Linked DNA regions of Struthio camelus. The protein of the gene in region 2 interacts with the protein of the main gene of each other region in a pairwise test. Links are inferred from orthologs where the notes say so. Each region holds a gene or a part of one and is shown on either strand. Other genes may lie near its edges.

Evidence for each region.
Region 1: the proteins of TOP1 (region 2) and BTBD1 interact in a two-hybrid assay, tested with the Homo sapiens proteins (2 studies listed by BioGRID). The link is inferred for Struthio camelus from reciprocal best matches to the Homo sapiens genes TOP1 and BTBD1.

Annotation. Positions count from the first base shown.
Region 1 is NC_090953.1:11,982,828-11,992,729, forward strand, and holds the start of BTBD1 (BTB/POZ domain-containing protein 1), read left to right. Parts: upstream 1-5,697; 5' UTR 5,698-5,741; coding exon 5,742-6,121; intron 6,122-9,902.
Region 2 is NC_090959.1:7,166,247-7,175,686, reverse strand, and holds the start of TOP1 (DNA topoisomerase 1), read right to left. Parts: upstream 4,723-9,440; 5' UTR 4,196-4,722; coding exon 4,163-4,195; intron 3,593-4,162; coding exon 3,568-3,592; intron 1-3,567. UniProt on the Homo sapiens protein: Releases the supercoiling and torsional tension of DNA introduced during the DNA replication and transcription by transiently cleaving and rejoining one strand of the DNA duplex.

The DNA of each region.
Region 1 (9,902 bases), on a different chromosome or scaffold from region 2:
TAAGGCAAAAGAAGTCAACAAGCAATGGTCTAAATAATGATTGAATTTCAAAGATTGATGTTTGGACTTGTGTTCATTTGTTGAAGGAACAGCTTATACCACACATAATTGCAACCCTCCAACAGCTTTAAATCCAAGCTATGCTATTTCTGAACTTCTTGTTAGTTGAGACTATAAGACCTAATAAATGATACTGTATTGTAAATCACAGACTGTGTGCTGCACCAGAGGCAATATAATGTAGTTCATATGGTATGCACTGGGGGTCAGAAGGCCACGTGCTAATGATCTGCTGAGGATTTGGGGGGATTCTCCAGCAGCAATCACACTACCAAAGAAGCACGCAAAGAGGAATTAGTGGTTAGTGTCCATTTCACTTTCAAAATTGAATATCAGCACCCCCAAAAATAGAGCTGCTTTGTGTGTTACGGCGTATCTGTTTGCTAATGAATAATCTAAGATGGATAGAAACATCTCAATAAAGTTAATGGGCGTCAGAGCAAAAAGGGAGTATTTTGTTATGCTATCTGGCTTAAACTGTAAATGGCAAGAGTGTGGCTTCTCAGTAAGAATCTTGCTAATCATGTGAAAATCAAACTGCTAACTAAATACCCTGTTAGAAATAGAGGAAATGTGTGCCAGCCTGAAGTGCTCCTGTGCCTCAATAGACTGCACACATTGAGCAGGGACGGGAAAGTAAATGACTTCACAAAGTATTCACTGTTCAGTCATAAAGAGATGGTGGTAATAACCAATAAAAGAAATTCCCCACATTTGCTTCTGCAGTTATGCAGTAAAATAACATTTAATTATGGGAAAAATGTATCAGAGTTTTGCCAGAGAGCCAGCCAAGTCAGAATTCAAAATGATCTATTCAAATAGATACATGGTGAGTCTAAGAACACCCGGACATTTTCTCAGGCTTAATTAATTGGGTTTGTAAAGCACTTGTCAGATAAAAGATGTGAAGAATGTTGCTGTTGTTCTTTGCTCTATATTTTGAAATAAGGAACTGTGCAGAATGAAAAATGAGAGAGCTACCTCCACAATTGGTAGAGCTGAGTGAATCAAAATTTCCTTGTGAGATTTTTGCTGGTTGCACGCATCTTCTTTGAATTAGGATTCTGAAAATATTCTCAGAAATATATATATTAGCAGGCACGTTTACTACAACAGTGTAATGTAAGCAATAATTGCGATATAAAATAATGTAGAAATTAGGAGTATTATCACTGAAGTCTGAGAAGTATGTCAATATAACTGGGAGCACATGCACATAACAACCTATATACTCCAGGAGAGCTAATCAGCAAAGCTGAAAATGTGCAATACAGTGCTCACATGCAAGAATTACTTGCAGAAATTATAGGGCAAAGAATTATAAAATGTAAAAAATTCTGAGACAGTTGCACACATATTATGGTCCGTTTTAGATCACAGTAGAATGTATAACAGAGGATCAAATATCAATTGCTCTTATTTTGGCTTTTTTATCAACGTTGTTTAGGCACTCTATGGAACACTAGAGAAAAACTAATCCCTGCCTTCCAGTGTTCCCCAAATCTAAGACCTTGAGTTTTTGTTCTGTGCTTGCATGGATGCCAAAGGAATTCAGCAGTGCGCCATAAACTGCAAGGTTACATTACCTGCAGATCCCACATCACAACAGTACAGGTTAATGCTAGCTAGAGATAAGGAAATAATACTAATCACAATAAAGAGCTCAAAGAGATAACTGTTTCTGTAACTGTAATGCTACTAGTAATTTAGTTAGGGAATGGTAGTATGCATGTCTGTCATTCACAGCAATGGCATGGAGCAGATGTAGGGAATTTTAAGTATCCAACTGAGCATGGAAAGAAAAAAGATGTCATCAAATGGCCACAATTGGCCCCAACCAGGAAGTTCAATCAGAAACAAATCTGTAATTTGCTCTGAATTATTCTTTTCCGTCCTGAAGCAGAGGAAGGATGCTAACTGCTTAGGAGAACAATAATTAATCCCTGTAAAGTTGTGTGCCAGCTCAAAAACTAAGATCATAACAAGTAGTTACTTAGAACATACACAAAGCTGAGTTCATGTGGGAAAAATAAGGAAAGGGAGGAGAATTTAAATAAAGTCAGGAACAAATGACCGAAAACAATATGCTTTGTAACTCAAACCCTTTGATGGCTCTCACAGAACTGGCCCTGTACTCCTGGCAGGGAAGTACAGGGTCTCTGGGCAGGCATTCCTGTGCTTCTGGGACAACCCTGGCATCACAACTATCTCAGAAATCCTCCAAGTTTGGTCACTAAATTCTCTGATATTTTTTCAGTATATGTCAACGCACTTTCTCCTCTGTCTCCCTGCTGTCAGGTAAAGGAACCTCAGTGATTAGAAAGTTCTTCTTTTATGAATTTTCTTAACAAAAAGCACCAGGTCAACATGAGCTAGCTCAGGCCCCTGTGTAGACCTTGGACGCATGTTTCTCAAAGGCGTGGACGCTCCCTGACCTTCTGTTTTGCTGGCTAGTGATCAGCACAACCTTCTCAGCTAATATAATATAATACTGTTGAACTTTTGTCTGCAGCCCTTGATTTGTAGCCATTCTGTTACATGAGATCAAACAAAAAGTTCTTCTGGGCCAATTCACGCTGTTGATGTTACATAAATATTTTTATCTGTATTAATTTCTATTACATTTCCTAGATAAAAACTGAGCATGTTAAGAAAGCAAACAACAGGAGAATATTTTAGTGACATTCGTGAGTAACCCCTTTTAGGAAATGCATTGTGTATTATTTATGATTTAGACTGGTAAATACAATCCCATGACATCACCTTTAAAAATGGCTGTGCTCCATCTACTGATAACGCCAATGAAAGACTAGCTGACTTTTTAAAGGAGGAAGCTGGCATAAAAATTATAAGGTGAAACAAATGTCTGAAGTTTATTGTCTACATGCAGAAAAGCCCAGTTTTAAAAGGAAATCTGTTATTTAATATTTCTGCAGCTCTCTACTTCCAAAACTGTTTAAATTAGTGCATTTGGCTTTTAGCTGATCTGTATATGGGCATCCAAGTCTCATTTCTCCTTTTATCTGTCCTTTCCAGTTTTTCTTTTTTTTTTTTTGGGGGGGGGGGGAGCGCTTATATAGTTTTATGATTTCTTTTATGTTATTTTAATTTTTGTTTGTTTCCCTCATTTTATTTCTCAGCTTTCTTTGTCAGCCTGTTTTATAGTTCTTTCCCATTCTTTCTCTCCTGCAGAACTTCCCTTCCTCGCTACAATTTCTCCTCTGTGAAGTTACCTTACATGTTCTGTCTGCCCCAGCCTCTTTCCTTTTCATGCTTTGGCCTACTATTTCTGCTTTTTGCCTTACCCCTTTTCCATGCTTGTTAATTTTCGCTAGTGCGTTACCAACAGTATGTTCACATTGCAGGAGACAAGCAGGACAATCATGTCTGTTGGCTCCCAGCTGACAGACTGACCTGTGAGCGAACACAAAAAGGTGAAAGGAGAAAGACAACTGTGCAGAACTTCTAACGCCCAGATCATTCCATGACTGAAAAAAAAAATTTTCCACGTGTACACAGTGTAACCAATTCCCTCATGGGGTTTTCCATCTCCCATGACAACTGATTCATTTTTCCTTCCTGAAAAGGCTCTTCACCCCCCAAAATCACTTCTCAAGTAATAGTTCCTAGCTAGTGCCTTCAGGTTCCCCGAGATGGGCCTGAAGCAGTGTGGTGAATCTCAGTTTTCTGTTCTTCCAGTCCCTACACTGCTAGGGGAATCTGGGTCTCTCCCACTCTCTAGTCTTTGTCCACGTTGGGACAAGGAAAGCACAAAGGCAATAGCTTAATTCTTCTGACTGAGCATTACCTGATTTATTTTTAATATAGCATCTACTTGCTGTCTTGTGGTTTGTATACTCTGTCTTCTTATGTCCTTTCCCACGATGGCCTACCCCAATTAAATTGCTTCCATCTTCCTTAAGCTTCTGTAAAATTTGTTCTGCGAAGCAGACGACGTTTGCTTGGTCTCAGTTTTGTCCTAATTATAAACCTAAATGCAGAGTGGTGACATATTCTGTTCCTCTTTTAGCCACATGCTTCCATAAATGCTGACAAGTCAGGAGCTATGATAAATAGCTTTCAGCTCCATAATTTAAATTTCTGCTGTATTTACAGCAAAACTCCAGTAGATGGCAAAAGGATCCACTTTATTTTTCAACTGACAGGGCTTAGTTTCCCCTTACTGTGAAAAGGATCTTGCAGTTCCAGAGAAATTTAATTCAGATCTCACCAACTTTATTTTGTGTATCATATATTTTAAAATTCAGTCTCTGTTCTGCAGCAAGCACTGAACTGTGGGGGCAATTCAGAAGTTTTTTCAGTTGAACACAATAATGTAGGACAGTGTAAGATTTTGTAAAGACACTATTACATTGAAATGTTATGATGAATTACACAGATTTACGAGTATCACCTTTCCCGCTCTCACAGAACTACTGCCCTGAGAAACTTAAGTGCAGCCCGTCCAGTAGCAAATATCGGTGGTAGGGAGGTCTTTTATTTCACCCTTGTCACACAAACACACTTTTTCCTCTCAAAAGCCACAAAGGCAGTAAATTAAAAAAGATCCTAGTTGGTTTGTCAGAATTTGCCAACTTGATTCACCGTCCTACATTCTCTGGTCCAAAGACTTTCAACTGTATGGATAGTGCTTTAGGCACAAAAAATGTGCTCTCTGCTACATTCACTATTGCTAGTTGTTTTGTTCTGTTTTCTCCTCAAAAGTTTAAAATATGAAATGTAAATGGATTTCTTATATAAAAACGTACCAACAGCCTTTAAAATATTATTTCAGAAATGCACACACAGTTAAAGTAGGTATCGATCCCCGATTTGTTTCAGTTATCACAAGGAAACAGGTATAACGTTCATCATAAAAATGAATTTGGATTTCACGCGCTTTAACAACACAGCTGCAGGACGTGTTCGCTCACAGGTACCGCAGCACAGATTTCCGTGAGCGCGGCAGCGCTGCGGGCTGGGCGCAGCCGGGTTTGCCTGCTGCCCGCCTGCGGTCTCTCCTCCCGCGGGAGCGCGTTCCCGCCCCACGCACGGTAACGTTCGTCCGGAGAAAACTACCAGGTTGGTGACACCGGTTCAGGCACCTGCAGCGCGGCTCAGACGAACTCGCCTGCGCTGAGAAGAGAGTATTACTGTTTTGTAGCTTTTGCGAGGTTGAATCCAGGCGGTTTTTTTTTTTTTTTCCTGTGAGGCACCGCGCGCGGTGAGCGTGGCGCCGAAGCCCCGACGGCTGCGCAAAGTGACAGCGCCTGACCGTTACCGACCGTTACTGACCGGCACCGCTTCAGCCGAGAGGCTGCGGCATCTCCCCCTCTGCCGCCCGCCGGGAGCCCCCGAGCCCCTTCGCACCGACGGGGGCTGCGAGGCACCGCGCCCGGGCCAGGAGGAGCCCCTCGGCGGCCGCCCCCGCGGAGAGTGGCCGGCCGCGCCCCTCGGCGGCCGCTCCCCGCCTCAGCGCCGCCGCCGCCACTCCTCCCCCTCCCCCTGCGCCTGCCGTGAGGGAAGGGCAGCCCGGCGGCAACGGCTTCGCCGGGCCGCCGCGAGCCTGCGCGGCGCGGGGGCGCATGCGCGGCGCGGCCGCCGCCGGTTAGCGCCTGACGCGGGGGCGGGCGACCGGCGGCGCGGAGGGGGTGCGGGTGTCGGTGCCGCCCTGAGCGGCGATGGCGGCGGCGGCCGCCGGCTCGGGGGCGCTTGCGGAGGCGGCGGTTGCTGTTGTCGCTGCCGCCGCTGAGGCCGGCGCGGTGCTGCAGCGGGAGCCGCTGTACAACTGGCAGGCCACCAAGGGCTCGCTGCGGGAGCGCTTCGCTTTCCTCTTCTCCAACGAGCTCCTCAGCGACGTGCACTTCGTGGTGGGCAAGGGCAGCCCCCGCGGCGGCGGCGGCCCTCCCGGGCCGGGCCAGCAGCGCATCCCCGCCCACCGCTTCGTGCTGGCGGCCGGCAGCGCCGTCTTCGACGCGATGTTTAACGGTGGCATGGCCACCACCTCGGCCGAGATCGAGCTGCCCGACGTGGAGCCCGCCGCCTTCCTGGCGCTGCTGAGGTCAGGCCGCGCCGGGGGCCGGGGGGCGCGGAGCGGGGGGGGGGGGGGGGTTGGCGGTTGGGGGCCTCCGCCCACCGGCGGTTCTGCCCCTCAGCCTCACCTGCGGCCTGGGAGCCCCCTCGGCGGCCGCTGCCTCAGGGTCTCCCTGCCCCGCGCAGCCGCGGTGTCCGCCGATGCCGTGTCTATTTTGATCTTCTGGTTCCGTGGTTTTTATTTATTTATTTATTTATTTATTTTCAAGAGAGGCGGTGGGAATTAGTGGCTGCCTTATCTCTTCTGTGAGTGCTGCAACTCTCCACCTTCTGATAATGGCCCAAAAGAACCCAGGCTGTTGTACAATGCTTTTAACTTCATTTGATGCTTGCTTTGAAATTTTATTAATCTTGCTGCTTGTTTTTCGTTTTCAGGGATGGTAGTAGATTGTTGTATATTTTTGCCAAAGTAATATCTATTACAGTTGTACTTATTTCAGATATTTTTTGGGTGGAGGGGGCATGTGTAGCAGAAGACAGTTAATAAACTAATTTTACACATAAACCACCTAGGTGAGATCATCAGTGCAGTGGTGGGAAAAAAAATATAAAATGGGTTAGTAATTTCAAACTTGGGCAGAATAGGATCTGCTGCTTCTCATAATCACAAAACTGATGAATTTACCCATCCTATACTTTTACTCAGGGTAGTGGTAAATAAAATCCGCGGTATTCATAGAAACGATTACTGGCAGTTTTGTGCGTGAGACTCATTGCTGAGGTGTAGTAATATGACTAAACTGCTTAATCTTTACGTTTTTTTTCTGAAGGAAACTCTGCTAGGTAAATCCTTCATAAAATATATAAAACATTTTTGTAATAGAGATTTAGGACACAAGTAATACCATGGTCTGGAAAGAAGTTCAGTGTCTCAGAGCTTTCTGTAATGGAGAAGTAAAAAAACTCCAAAGCCTTCACAGCTTTCTCTTTTGTTTTGGGACCTAACAGGCCTAACAGTGAGGAGTCATCTACTCCTTTTAGTAATGGGAGCAACTGATTTGTCAGGCGGAGGGTGGGTTAGTTTTAAAAAAAAAAAAAAAAAAAAAAAAAAAGACACAGCAGCAGCGACTTCTGCTGTGTTGCTCATTAGCAAATTAATTGTATTGATTATCTGGATTCTCAGCAACTGGAGAGTAGTGAAAATATGAGATGAAGAGTTTGTGTAGCAGAGTGGAAAATAGTAGGAAATGTCTTTCAAACAAAAATCTTTTCCAGGGTTAAAAGTAAATGAAAGCGCGCATGTATATGTGTGTGTGCGTGTGTTTATATAGCTGCATGTTGAAAAATGTGGTACAGTGAAAAGTGGATATAATTGGATAAGTTAGCTTGGATAAAAATGTGAACGCCAAAGTGGTTGAGTTCTAAGTAACAGTAAGAAGGATAATACATGAAAACTGTAAAAGTGAATGAAGAGATGTTGTTGCAATCAAACAAAAGCCATCTTATGCTTGCTAGTACGTAATGGCCTGGGGACTTACGTAAATAAACTTATTATACTTACATCTTGTCTAAATATCACCAGACTGATGAACTGATAAAGCTTCTCGGATTTGAAATCTCCTTTGGTTTGAAATACATTGCAGCTTTTTTAGGACATTCTTCTCTATTATATGTATCTTTTGAGCTTATATCGGAATAAATATAAATTGCAACACAATGTTAAACACATCTGAGGAAAACTTCTTTAATACAGACCAGTACTGGATTTTTCCCATACCAGTACACACTATTTTTAAATTATACTGACTATAAGACCACCTGTTTTTTCCCAGTGTTGACCAGAAGAGGCACAAGAACTTTACCTTGCATTATTATCCTCTTTTGTCTATCGTTAGTAAATTTGCCAGCTGGTGGTGATAGCCTTTTGTGGGACCCTCTGTTAATCTCTGCACAGGCCAACCAGAGCTGTATTGGCTAGGAGTTAGGTCAATTGGGATCTTTGCCTATACATAGCAGAAAAGCATGAAGGTAAAGTAAAAAATTAAACTGATGTACATTTTTTTTAGAGGGCATTTACTAACTATTTAATGTTCAACAAATCGTTTCTGTTTTACTTACTCATACATTGTGTTAGGTCCTGTCTGTAGTTGATATGTTTGGTAAAGATAATCCTACTTGCCGTTTAATGCCCCAAAAAATATTTGTATGAAAATTTTTCTGTTTTTCTTAAACTGATAGTCTTCATCTGTCCGGTGAGACTGTTATTTCCTTGTCTTATGAGGTAAACTTTCCTCAGTGTTAGTGTTTTGTTGCCAAATACATCATAGTTTCAGAATTAAATTTATGGGGCGGAAACAAGCAGTTAGAAATGGCACAATTTAAACAGCGAATATTTACCAAGTTAACGTGACATGTGACATCTGTTTTTTTCAATTTTTCTTTGGATATATTCATGCACGATTTAAAAATGGGGCTACAATTGCTACCTTTTTTCGGAAAGGGGCCTCTAAAATACCAGATTTTTAGAGTTAACATATTTAAAAATAATAGAAAAAAGCTTTAATTGATAGTACTGCTGTAATCTGAGTAATAAGTTTTGGAGGTTCTTTTTACCCTGAAGAAAGTTGTGCATGTCCTCCTCATCTATCATTTTGGCTAAAATCTTAACTGTAAAAATGGAAGAGGAGGAGACTTTTGGAACTTACTGGGGGGGGGGAGAAAACAGTCTTAGAAAATAATTGGCTGAGCTCAGGGGCCTAAAAACGACTGTGGTGTGTGTTTTGGCTTACCATCCGGTATTCCTCTTGCCTGAAGAGTTCTCAAACATGAGCCAAAGAAGTTTTTCTAAAGTAGCTGACTGCTTCAGTAGTTTGGCAGATAAATCCTTAAGAACTCGAAATTAAGTCAAAGCCCCAAAGTTTGTGTCTGCTTTTTCTGATTTGTAATTAGTCAACTTCTTTTGCATATTTCTAACTGCGTAACTTGAGTAGCTGAGATCTGGAAAGTCAAAGTAGTTTCATACTAGCGTTACGTGTTTCTGTTTTAGGGTTTGGATTTGTTTTTTAATAAGTTTTTTTTTAATTTCTATTCATTCTCATTTTAAAATGCATTTTAGAGTAATTTAACTTGTACTTTGATCATAGTATACAGGGAAGTGGCAACATAGGATAAAATTAACCTGGATGTCTTAGCAGAGGATTTTGACAAGCAGTAAATAGAGGGGTAACCACGGCTAACTGGGAAAGATCTCTGTGTTTTTTATATTGGTGAGAATATTTCAGTTGTTCGGAAGATGCTAGGGCTATGGGAGAAGGAAGTGCTAACTTGAGAGTGAAGAAAAGTGGCATAAAATTTGAGATGCTTATTTAAAATCAGTGGTTGAGTGGTTCCTTGGGAAACTGTTCTGTCCACTAAAAGTGTTCCTCCACTACCCTCCTCTTCCCCCCCGGTGAAAATAAAATTAATCAGTGTCCAAAGAGCAGATTATTTCCTGTGAGTCTGAAACTCCTGAGGGGAAGGGGAGGAGGGAGGGAGGGAGGGAGGGAGATAATGGAGAAGAAGTGGTCTTGAACCTCACTGATCTTAGCAGTCTGCTAATCAAGGAGAACTACTTCTAATTTATTTTTCTCTTTCTTGGCAAAGAAAAAATTGGCCTCTGAAATCAAAGGAGGAGAGAATGGAGGGATCTGCAAAAATGGGATGTAAATTTAAATGAAAGGAGAAGAGGAAGCAGAGAGAAAAAGATGGGGGAAATATGTTTTTAAATGTACACATGAAAGATGAATGGAAGAGGAACAATAGCATAAACA
Region 2 (9,440 bases):
ATGACACTGGACGATCACATTCACACTTGAATCCTGTTAATATACTGTGATATTTACTACAGTGATATTGGCCTCCAATTGCTTCTTAAGAGTATTGATCAAGTCCATCAAAGGAAAAACATTGGTTAGGGTGATCATTTAACTTTTTAAACAAAACGATAATGAATCTTATAGAATTCTGTTCCTGGACTGATGAACAGCCAACACATTCTGTTACACTGCAGGAATAGCACTAAAAGCATTTCACAGTAAGTGCAATTTAGTAGCTTTGGACCGATTTTTACCATATTGCAAACAAAAATAACTTATCTGCTGCACTCCGCAAACATAATAAGAGAACTGAAAGTCGAGATAAATTCCATTTAGTCTCAGTACTGTCTGCAGTAGTAAGAGGTCGTTATAGTTGAACTTAGTAGCAAAGCTCTTACCAGCTAAGCTAAACAGGATCCAAATAGGTTTTGCATCTGAAGAGATTTGAAACTTACGGGGGCGGGGGGATAAAACAAAAAAAACAAAAACAAAAAAAATCCCCAGGAATGATTTCCTCCCTCAGAAGTTTGTAGTGACCTAAAACTCACATATGCTAAAAAGAGGCTGTTCTTAATGACCAAACTGTACTTGGAGATGACAGTTTTAGACTACCATCTCCCTTCTACAGCGGTGCAGATTGTGAGGATGGAACTTTAAAAAACAGGCCTACTGTTTCAGCTCAATATTGTTCTCAGGATGGTTTGCAAGCAGCCACTGCTAGAACTGAGCACGGAAAAGTCTTTGCAGTGCATACTGCCACTAAAAATATAGTTAAGGTGAAAAAAAAATTCAATATGGCCAAATTAAACAGGAGGGAGAATCTGGATATTCAGATGGAATGCAATTACCCAAGTTGGAATTTGCCCAGGATACACTTGCTTAGAGCGATCTGGCTATTTAATGACAAGAAATAGCCAGAAACACATATTTACATTTACAATTGGCATCCTCTCTCGTACCCAACACTATCCTGCTACCAATGAAACTGGTGTGTAATCAGACTTAAGATCTTAGCTACAACCAGGGTGCTCCTTGGTGACCTCCAATTAGCTAGTAGATCCACCCCCACCCACCTTACTTCAGTTGCAACATCTTGTGTGCTTAAAACTCAAAGTAGTATGTCCACTGACCTAGATATGAAAGATATTTGTAACAACAGGAAACTTCAAAGTGCTTAAGTTACTCTATCATTGATACAATATCCAGAAGTCACTCAAAACACTGTTTATTAGCAGAACCCTTTAGGACTGGTACATTTAACTTTTAGAGGCTACCAGCAACAAAAACTTCCCTTCCCCCTAACGTAAAGGGAAAAGGCAGCCTAAAAGGAGGCTTTGGCTCTACTGTAAGAGCTGTTTGATAATAACCAAAGTACGAAGCAATTCTAAACACCTGGATGAAGTAATTTGAGATTCCTGCTGCCCCCATCTCCGCCACTAAACAGGATCAAAACAAGAATTAGAGCTTGAGCTCTCACCTATGCCTAAAAGAGAAACGATATTCTCAGATCAGCGTGTGACGTTTCTGACACAAAAGCGTAAGGTACTCCTGGGAAGAGGAAACAAGCCTGAAAAAAACTTGGAGCAAAAGGAGGTGACAGGTTTTCAGGAATATCAGTCTTGGCCCAAGGTCAGAGAGGACAGTGTCTACTCATCATTATTCCCTTACAAAACTAAAAGGGTTACACACAGCTTTCATCACTGAAGAGGATTTTGGATTTTAGGAGCCTCTGATCAGCCACAATGATGTTTCATGACAGCCATAAAAATAAATTCAATGGGCAAATACAATAGGAAGAAAAGAGCGCTGATACCTAAACTGGTATGAACTTGTTCGGTGTGTTTGATTCACCAGTAACACACTTTTTCCATCTAGATGTCTTACTTTACATCTGTGTAATGACTTCCTCCAACACATAGTAGAAGTCAGAATTGAAGGAGTTTTAAGCGCTGTATGCCTAAAACCGTCCTAAGAATAAAGCAGCATATAGTTATAATGAAGGAGAAAAAAACCCTCCTAAGATGTTCACTAGAAGTTGGAATGGAATAGTTGAACAAGCATCACTTCCCCTGTTTAAACCAGTAAGTAGTTGAAGCTTTTCAGGGGTTACTTTTCCCGAAATAGCAGTGACCCTTTGGCAAATATTTCCCAGCATAAGGCTACAAGTATTCAAATACATGCTTGCATTTAAGTTGTTTCAAGAATTCCTACTGCATTTTCAGGGAACTCCACTTCCTCCCTTTCTTCTGCTAAGGATTATTCATAGAGCCCTACTGTAGCTTCAGAGTAGAAAGAAAAGTTTAAAAGCTATAGATTTGAAACCGCATGCTCCTATTGTACATACACAATCACATCAATGAATGGATAAGAGAAAGAGAGGAGCACACAAACAGGGATCTGTAAATATTTACGTGCAGTAGCTTGCAAAGCAACCAGGCACACAGACATTGTGCAGAAAGGTGTGCTGAAAATCAGTATTGCTGTAAGAATGCATTTAGCCAAGCTAAGGTATCTTCTCTTCAAACCTTTTTGTCCTCTACCACCTCAACAGTTAGGGGACAGCTCTGAGCTCCTCAGACAACCCCATCAGTAGGACAATAACACACGCATGCAAAGGTAGGTTTTTACCTCCTCCTCCCCCCAAATCTGCCATGTACCAGGCTGGGGGGAAAAGAATTTGCTTCCTGGAAAAATGCAGCAACACTCAAAAAAAAAAAAAAAGTCGGTAGCTGTCAAGCTTCTTAAAAAACATAATTATGTATACATATAGACACACATATGTGTATGTATATAACCTTTCTAACCAAAACAAAGAGTCAACTTGCAAACTTTCTGAAGTGATGCTGTCTACCTTTCTGGAATTGTCTATATTATCTTTTTTTAATCTTTGCTTTTTTTTAATTAAAAAGCCCCACCCCAAAATGTAAAGTTACATCAATTAAACAGCAAGGAATGAAATAAGAGTGATCTTAAAATGGATGCAGCAGAATCTTTTAAAGAGCAACATGTTGCAATCACCTTTCATTTTAGGGGAAGGGAGGGATTCCCTGAAAGGAACAGAGCAGGGGAGCAGTAGAGGGGGGGGAGAGGGAGGCTGCGATAAAAACCAGCTCGGGGGTTTATTTTAGCTAAAAACTTTGCTTTTGTGCCTGCTCAGAAGGGGCCGTGGGCCGGGGATCGGTGCCGGGTTCCTCTGCGGGAGGCTCCTTTTCGGCAGCTCAGGGAGGAGGAGAAGCAGAGAAAGCCACACAGCAGAGAGGAGAAAAAGAAAATGGCGCAGAGACTAAGTCCCGACCGTCGACAAGGCGACTTTCCAGGGAGGAACGGGGCCCAAAGGGACCCCCGGGAGGGCCGATGGGCGCGGATCGGGGGCCTCCGCAGCCCCCTCTAGGGGAAGAGGGGGCCGGGGGGGGCCGAGGCCCCCGGCAAAGGGGCGCTTTGGGCGGCTCGATGGGAACAATGGGGCCGGTGAGCGAGGAGCCGGGACTTAGTCTCTGGGACGCCATGTCTGTGCGCGGCCGGCGCGGCCTCACTCACCGTTCGCTCGGAAATCCGCCTCGATCTGCGGGAGAGGGGAGACAGGGAGACACACCGTGAAAACACCGTCCCGGCACGGGTTTTTTTCCCCCCCCCACTTTAGGGGGAAGAAGGGGCGCGCGGGGGTTTCTCTCCCCCCTCCCCACCCGCTTAATTCTCATTTTTAGGAAAAGTGGACAACAAGCGAGAAATAACCAGCCCGCCGCACGAGTGCCCTCCGCGGCGGGCGGCAGGAAGCTGCCCCCCGGCACCCGCACGGCTCCGGGGTGCCCCCGCCAGCCCCCTCCCCTCCTGCCGGCAGGGGGCCGCTCACGAGTCCCTTCCCCCACCCCACCTCCGCCTGGGCACAAACGGCGGCGGCGCCCCGCCACGGCGGGGGCAGCCCGGCTTGACAGGGCTCTCCCCGGGGCCGCGGGGGGGCCCCGGCTGAGGGGCGGCAGGAGGGCAGCGCCGCCCGGCTGAGGGCAAGGCGGTGGGAGGGGGAGGGGAGGGCTCCAGCCGGGCCCGCCGCGCCGACCCTGAGGGGAGCGAAGGGCCCCGCGGCAGGGCGCCCCCGGGGAGCGGGGCTCCCCGCCGGGGCGGAGGGCGCTCTCACCTGGGAGTCGTTGTGCAGATGGTCGCCGCTCATGCCGGAAGGCGCCGGAGGCCTAGCGGAGCGCAGCGGAGAGGAGAGCCGAGCCGCCGGGGAAGCGCGGAGCCTGAACGCGACGGGAGAGCGCAGCCCCCTGGCCCCGCCGCCGGTTGTGTAACAGACTAAGTCCTTATTTCCGCGCACTGCGCAGGCGCGGCGCCTTTTAGCGGCGGGGCGTGGCCACGGGAACGTTAGCGAGAGCGTTGGGGCGGGAGCCGGGAAACGGCCGCCCGGGCGTTTGCACCCGAGCCACGCCCCACCGCGCGCGCGAGACGCCGGCTACATTTGCATACGCAGGCCCCGCCCCACTGCCCTCCTCCCCCCCTCCCACGCGCGCGCGCGCGCTGAACGCCGGCTCTCTCTTTACATATCCGGTCCCGCCTCTTCCTCCCGCCCTTCCAATCGCGCGACGGAAGCAAGCAACATTTGCATACCCGACCCCGCCCCGCTGCTTCGCGCCCCCTCCAACACCGTTGAGGGAACCCGGCGCATTGTGTAAGGACCCGTTCCCCACTGAGCGCGGAATGCGCGTGCGCCCCCCGTGGCACCCTGCGGGCAGCCGCGCTCTATTTGCATACGACGCCCCGCCCCTCGCGGCGCAGGCCCCGCCCCTGGGGGGGTCGACCGGGGGAGATGGCGGCGCCCTGGCGGCAGGAGGAGGGGAGCGGGCCGGCGGCCGCCCCGCGGGCCGAGGGAGCCCTTCCCCTCCGCAGCGCCCCCGGTGACCGACGCCGTTACAGCGCGAGCGCCCTGCCGGGCCTCGCGGGACTCCCGTTACAGCGCCCGGTGGCTGGATGTCCTCGGGGGCGGCGTGGGGCCTGCCCTGCGCCTCGCCAGGCCTGGCAGGCCGCGGCTCTGCCGCCGGGGCCGGTTTGGGCTCCCGGCTCCGCTCCCGCCGGCCCAGCCCGCGCCCGGCGCGGCGGCTGCGGCCTGCGCACACGCCCAAGGCGTCGTCCCGGCCGGGCGGCTCCGCGCGGTGTGCGTCTTCCCTCTGGAAGCGCCGCCGATGGCTTTTGGGGCCTGGCTGGCCTGTCTCTTAGTCCGGTCCTCCGCGGGAGGAACTCCGCCAGCCCGTCCACGGCACGCTCCTGCAAACCCTGCGGGAGCATAAGTGGTCTGATGTGTGTGGTTTGAGTTTGAGCGTTTCAAAATGAGACGGCTGTCAGTTCCTTTTGGCAGGAAGCGAGCTGTGCTTGCTGTGCGCATCTGCCCTGTAGAGAGGCTAAGCGTGAGGCTGACCTTTCATTATTAGTCTGACTACGCGTTTGTATCGGGGTGGAACTCGGAGGCCGCGGTAGCCATAAAAAGATTACTGTGTGCTAGGTGCTGTACAGGTGTCCTGTGTCCAGATAAAAATGACGCTGAGCAGGCATGCAGACAGGGTGGATTTGAGCTGAGATTAAAGGCAAGGACAGTGAGCAACGGTGTGGTGCAAATGGCAGCTTTCTGCTTTAAAAAAGAATCAGTCAGCAAGATTTTTCTTCTTATGTAAACAGCCCCTTAAATGTTTTCTCTCATGAGGAAACTGAGGGGAAAAACAAAACAAACGCTTTCTTTTCTTTTAGCTAATATGAGAATGAATCATGTGCCTCACTACAAAAACAAACCAAAATGCCCTCCGCAGCCCCAAATCTGAAGACGTCTATTTCAGGTCTGCAGCAGGTCTACTAAAGGGGCTTTCTCTCTGGTGTGCTGAATGGCAGGTTTAGTATGCACGGCTGGTACATGTCTCACAGGACTGCCTCCAGTCTTCTTGGAGCTTCCATCCAGTGCTGCAGCACAGGCTTTACCTTTCCCCGGCTTCTTTATACAACCAGGGCTTTGATTTGACACTAAAATAATCCAGCACTGCCAGGCTATCAGAAGCGATACATCAAAATGTAAGCAGCGACAGCAGCCACCTATTTGCACTGCATATTTATATCCTGTAAAGGGAAAACTCTGTCACTTTCTTGCTGTCTTCAGAAGAGGATCTGAGGACTTCCTTTTTTTACTGAGGGCAGGCAAGTATTTCTGGCTCTAGAGCTGTTTATTATGCAAACTGCTTTAGTCACCGTAAGATTTTTAAGTATAAACATAATGAAAAGGCTGTTTAAGAGACACCTCTCCTGTTTGTCCCTAGCTTGCAAAAAGAGAAGGGGTCTCTGCTTTTGGAGCAGCCTAAGGTGCTCGTCCATCCTTGCTGCCACGCAGAGGTGTAAGGGAAACCAGCGAGCAGTTGTGTCCTCTGATGTGGGACAGCTTGGGAATGGTCTGGTACCTCGAGCTCTGGGCATTAGAAATTCCTAAAAGCCCTTTCTCTTGAAGCAGCAACTTCATTTTGCATCTTCCCCGAGAAGCCTTGCTCAGGTGTCCTTGCTCTCTCACAAGGGAAGGACCAGCTGCACTGCTCTGCAGCTGCAACTAGCCCTGTTCAGAGGAAAGGATCACTATCTTTTTGAGCAGCTGCCATCTTCAGAGGCACTTGCAAACACCCTTCTGGTTGCAAAAGGGAAACCCCTCAAGTGGCACAGGAGGCTCAGAGCTGCATTTTCTGTGAGAGACAGCTGACAGCCAGATACCACAGCTCTGAATGCAATAGGGACCTTCCCAGGTTGTTAGCTCTGGCCCTAATAAGGACCATTCCCATGTGGTGACAAGAAAAACCTTGTGCCACTGTTGTGAATACTGCACATAGGATGAAGCAAACCTTAGGCAGAGATGACCATATCCAAACCAGATGCAAGAGTCTCCCAAGGATCATTTCCCATCTGCTGCTTTTTGTCTTCTGTCTCCCATGGGATGCAGGGAGAATTTATAACTTGTTCAAAGGTGTATTCAACTGTAACACTTCTGTGGCTGCATCTGTTGCAACAAACTGTATGGAGGGAGGGAAAAAAAGCTTTCAAGACACTCTGCAAACCTGCAACCTGCACTGTGGCGTTCCAGGAATCTGTAGCTCATCTTGATGAGCGTAACCGCAAACCCCCCACGGACTGTTTACACCCGCTTCATGCGAAGCTTGCGTCTGTTGTTGCTAGGAACGATCCAAGCAAAGGAGGGAAAAGGCCCATACAGGACATACTGCCATATAGCTGGGCCTTTCAGTGGCAGAGGCTGGCAGTGAGGGGGTTAACATGATTAGGCTTGCTTCCCTGGCAAGACTGCACACCCCATGAAGATAAATGGGGGAAGTTCACACCTCTGAGTGCTGTTGTCTGGCTCGCTCTCTCTGAGGGCTCCCTGGGATGGCAGTACATCACCATCAGGTTAATGTAGCCTAGGTGATTGCTTGCAAAAAGAAACGTCTGGAAACTACATGTTTAAATTAAATCATAAATCATCCTGAATATAAAATCTGCAGGAAACCCTCCAGTTCTGGCGAACTGTGAGATTTGATTGATTTGGTGAACTTGGGGCTTCTTGCTGTGAACAGACTCAGGGTGCCCATTTGGGGAGAGGGAGGCGGGTGCCTTTCTCCTGACCAGCTTTGCAGCCGACACAGTGAATCAGGGTAGAATCCTACTTGAGCTCCAGCCTGTGTCCCCACGCTGCGCGCAGAAGAGATCTGTAAGTGCAGGAAATCCCCTTGCCGGACCAGGCTTGTGGCTGCACTGTGGTTGCAGCCTCCACTTCTGCAGTGCTTCTTTCTAAAAGCTGGAGCAGTGACTTCAGGAGACAAACAGCTTCCCCAAACTCGTGTCCTTCGCTCTGTGGTTGGATCCCTGGCTTTCAAGGGCATCTGCAAAGGGTTTACCAAAGGTCACCTCAAAGGCTGCACTGGGCTTTGGCTGCAGGGTGGGCACCGCCCCCCGTGAACGCAGCAGAAGTGGGGCTCCTGCCTGCCCGCCCGCCCTGGGCATCAGAGGGCACGGGCTCCAGGGCAACCTTGGCGCCTCAGACCAGAGCAACTCAGCTGGGTCGAGGCTTGCCTGTACTTCTGGGTTGTTCACTCGCCAGCTTTCCATGCAGGATATGGGGCGGCAGTTTCGGCCTGTCACCTTTGCTAGGCCTTGGGATGGAGATGGGTGCAAGTGGGGCTATTCGACAACAGTTTACTACTCAGAGTAGGTCACTTGCCAGCCCCAGCCAGGAACACTGGAGCAGGTAGGAACTAGCTCAGACTCTGCTGTTTCAGGGCTAAGAAGCTGAAAGTAAATACAAAAAGTGAGGCTCTAGGATCCATGCAGGACATGAAATCTATACATCCAAAACCCTGGACCCTCTGTAGCCCTCTTTCGGAACCATTACCTTGCCTTTAGCCACATGAGAAGCTGTTTGCAATGTTGCTTGTATTAATTCCCTTTTATATTCAACTTAAAATGCATTACATAACAAAGTAAGTTTCAATGCAAAGCAAGTTTGTGATTATATACAGTTATTTGTTACTTTTGATTCCATTATCAGAAGTTCAGGTCTTTGACCCTCATTCAGAGGGCAGGAAGAGACACAATGCTGCCAACTCCTCTGATGTTATTAGCAGTCCCAGGATGTCCAAATTTGCTTGTTTTGTTTTCCTTGATGTTGTTTCATAATAATCTCAACATTTATTTAGAGGCAGCAACAGGTTTCTAACCTTCATGTTTTATGGTTCTTCTGAATACGAAAGCAGTGCTTTCTACCAGCTGAGGATGTAGTGAAAGAACAGTTACGAGACATTTAAACCCCCCAAAATCTCATTTTTAAGATGCTGTCATGATTTTTGAGTCCTAATTCATCATTTATAAAAGCTTTAGTTAGGATACCTATATTACTAGTCTACAATTTTTCCACAACCAGAGAGACCTGCTTGATGTGCAGGATTCCAGATCAGTATAATCCTGAAGACCTGTTATCACTAGATCAGAGTGACACTTGTACAAAATAGGAACAGGCAGATATCTGACTCCCCTCATTTTTTATTAGGATAACTTGCTCAAAACGTTCATACCTATTATGTGCTGTTGAATGTTTTGAAACAGGATGATCTCAGTGGTTTGAGGGCTTTTTATTTTCTGCTTTAATAAACCATAGCAATTATTCACAGTTTTATATGTGCAACAGGGGAGCAAATTAAGCAGAAGCAGCAGATATCATTGTGAGTGGTAGCTTTCAAAGGTCAGTCTTAATTACTGAGTTTCACCTGCAAAGGGAGAAGCTTGCAAAAATCCCAGAAATTATTAGTTAGAAAATACTAGCTGTATCAGTTGTGCTGTATTGTGAGAAAGGTTGTGTTTGGTGCCATCATTTGCTGAGGTTAATGAAGCCAGGAGTGTTGCAAAGG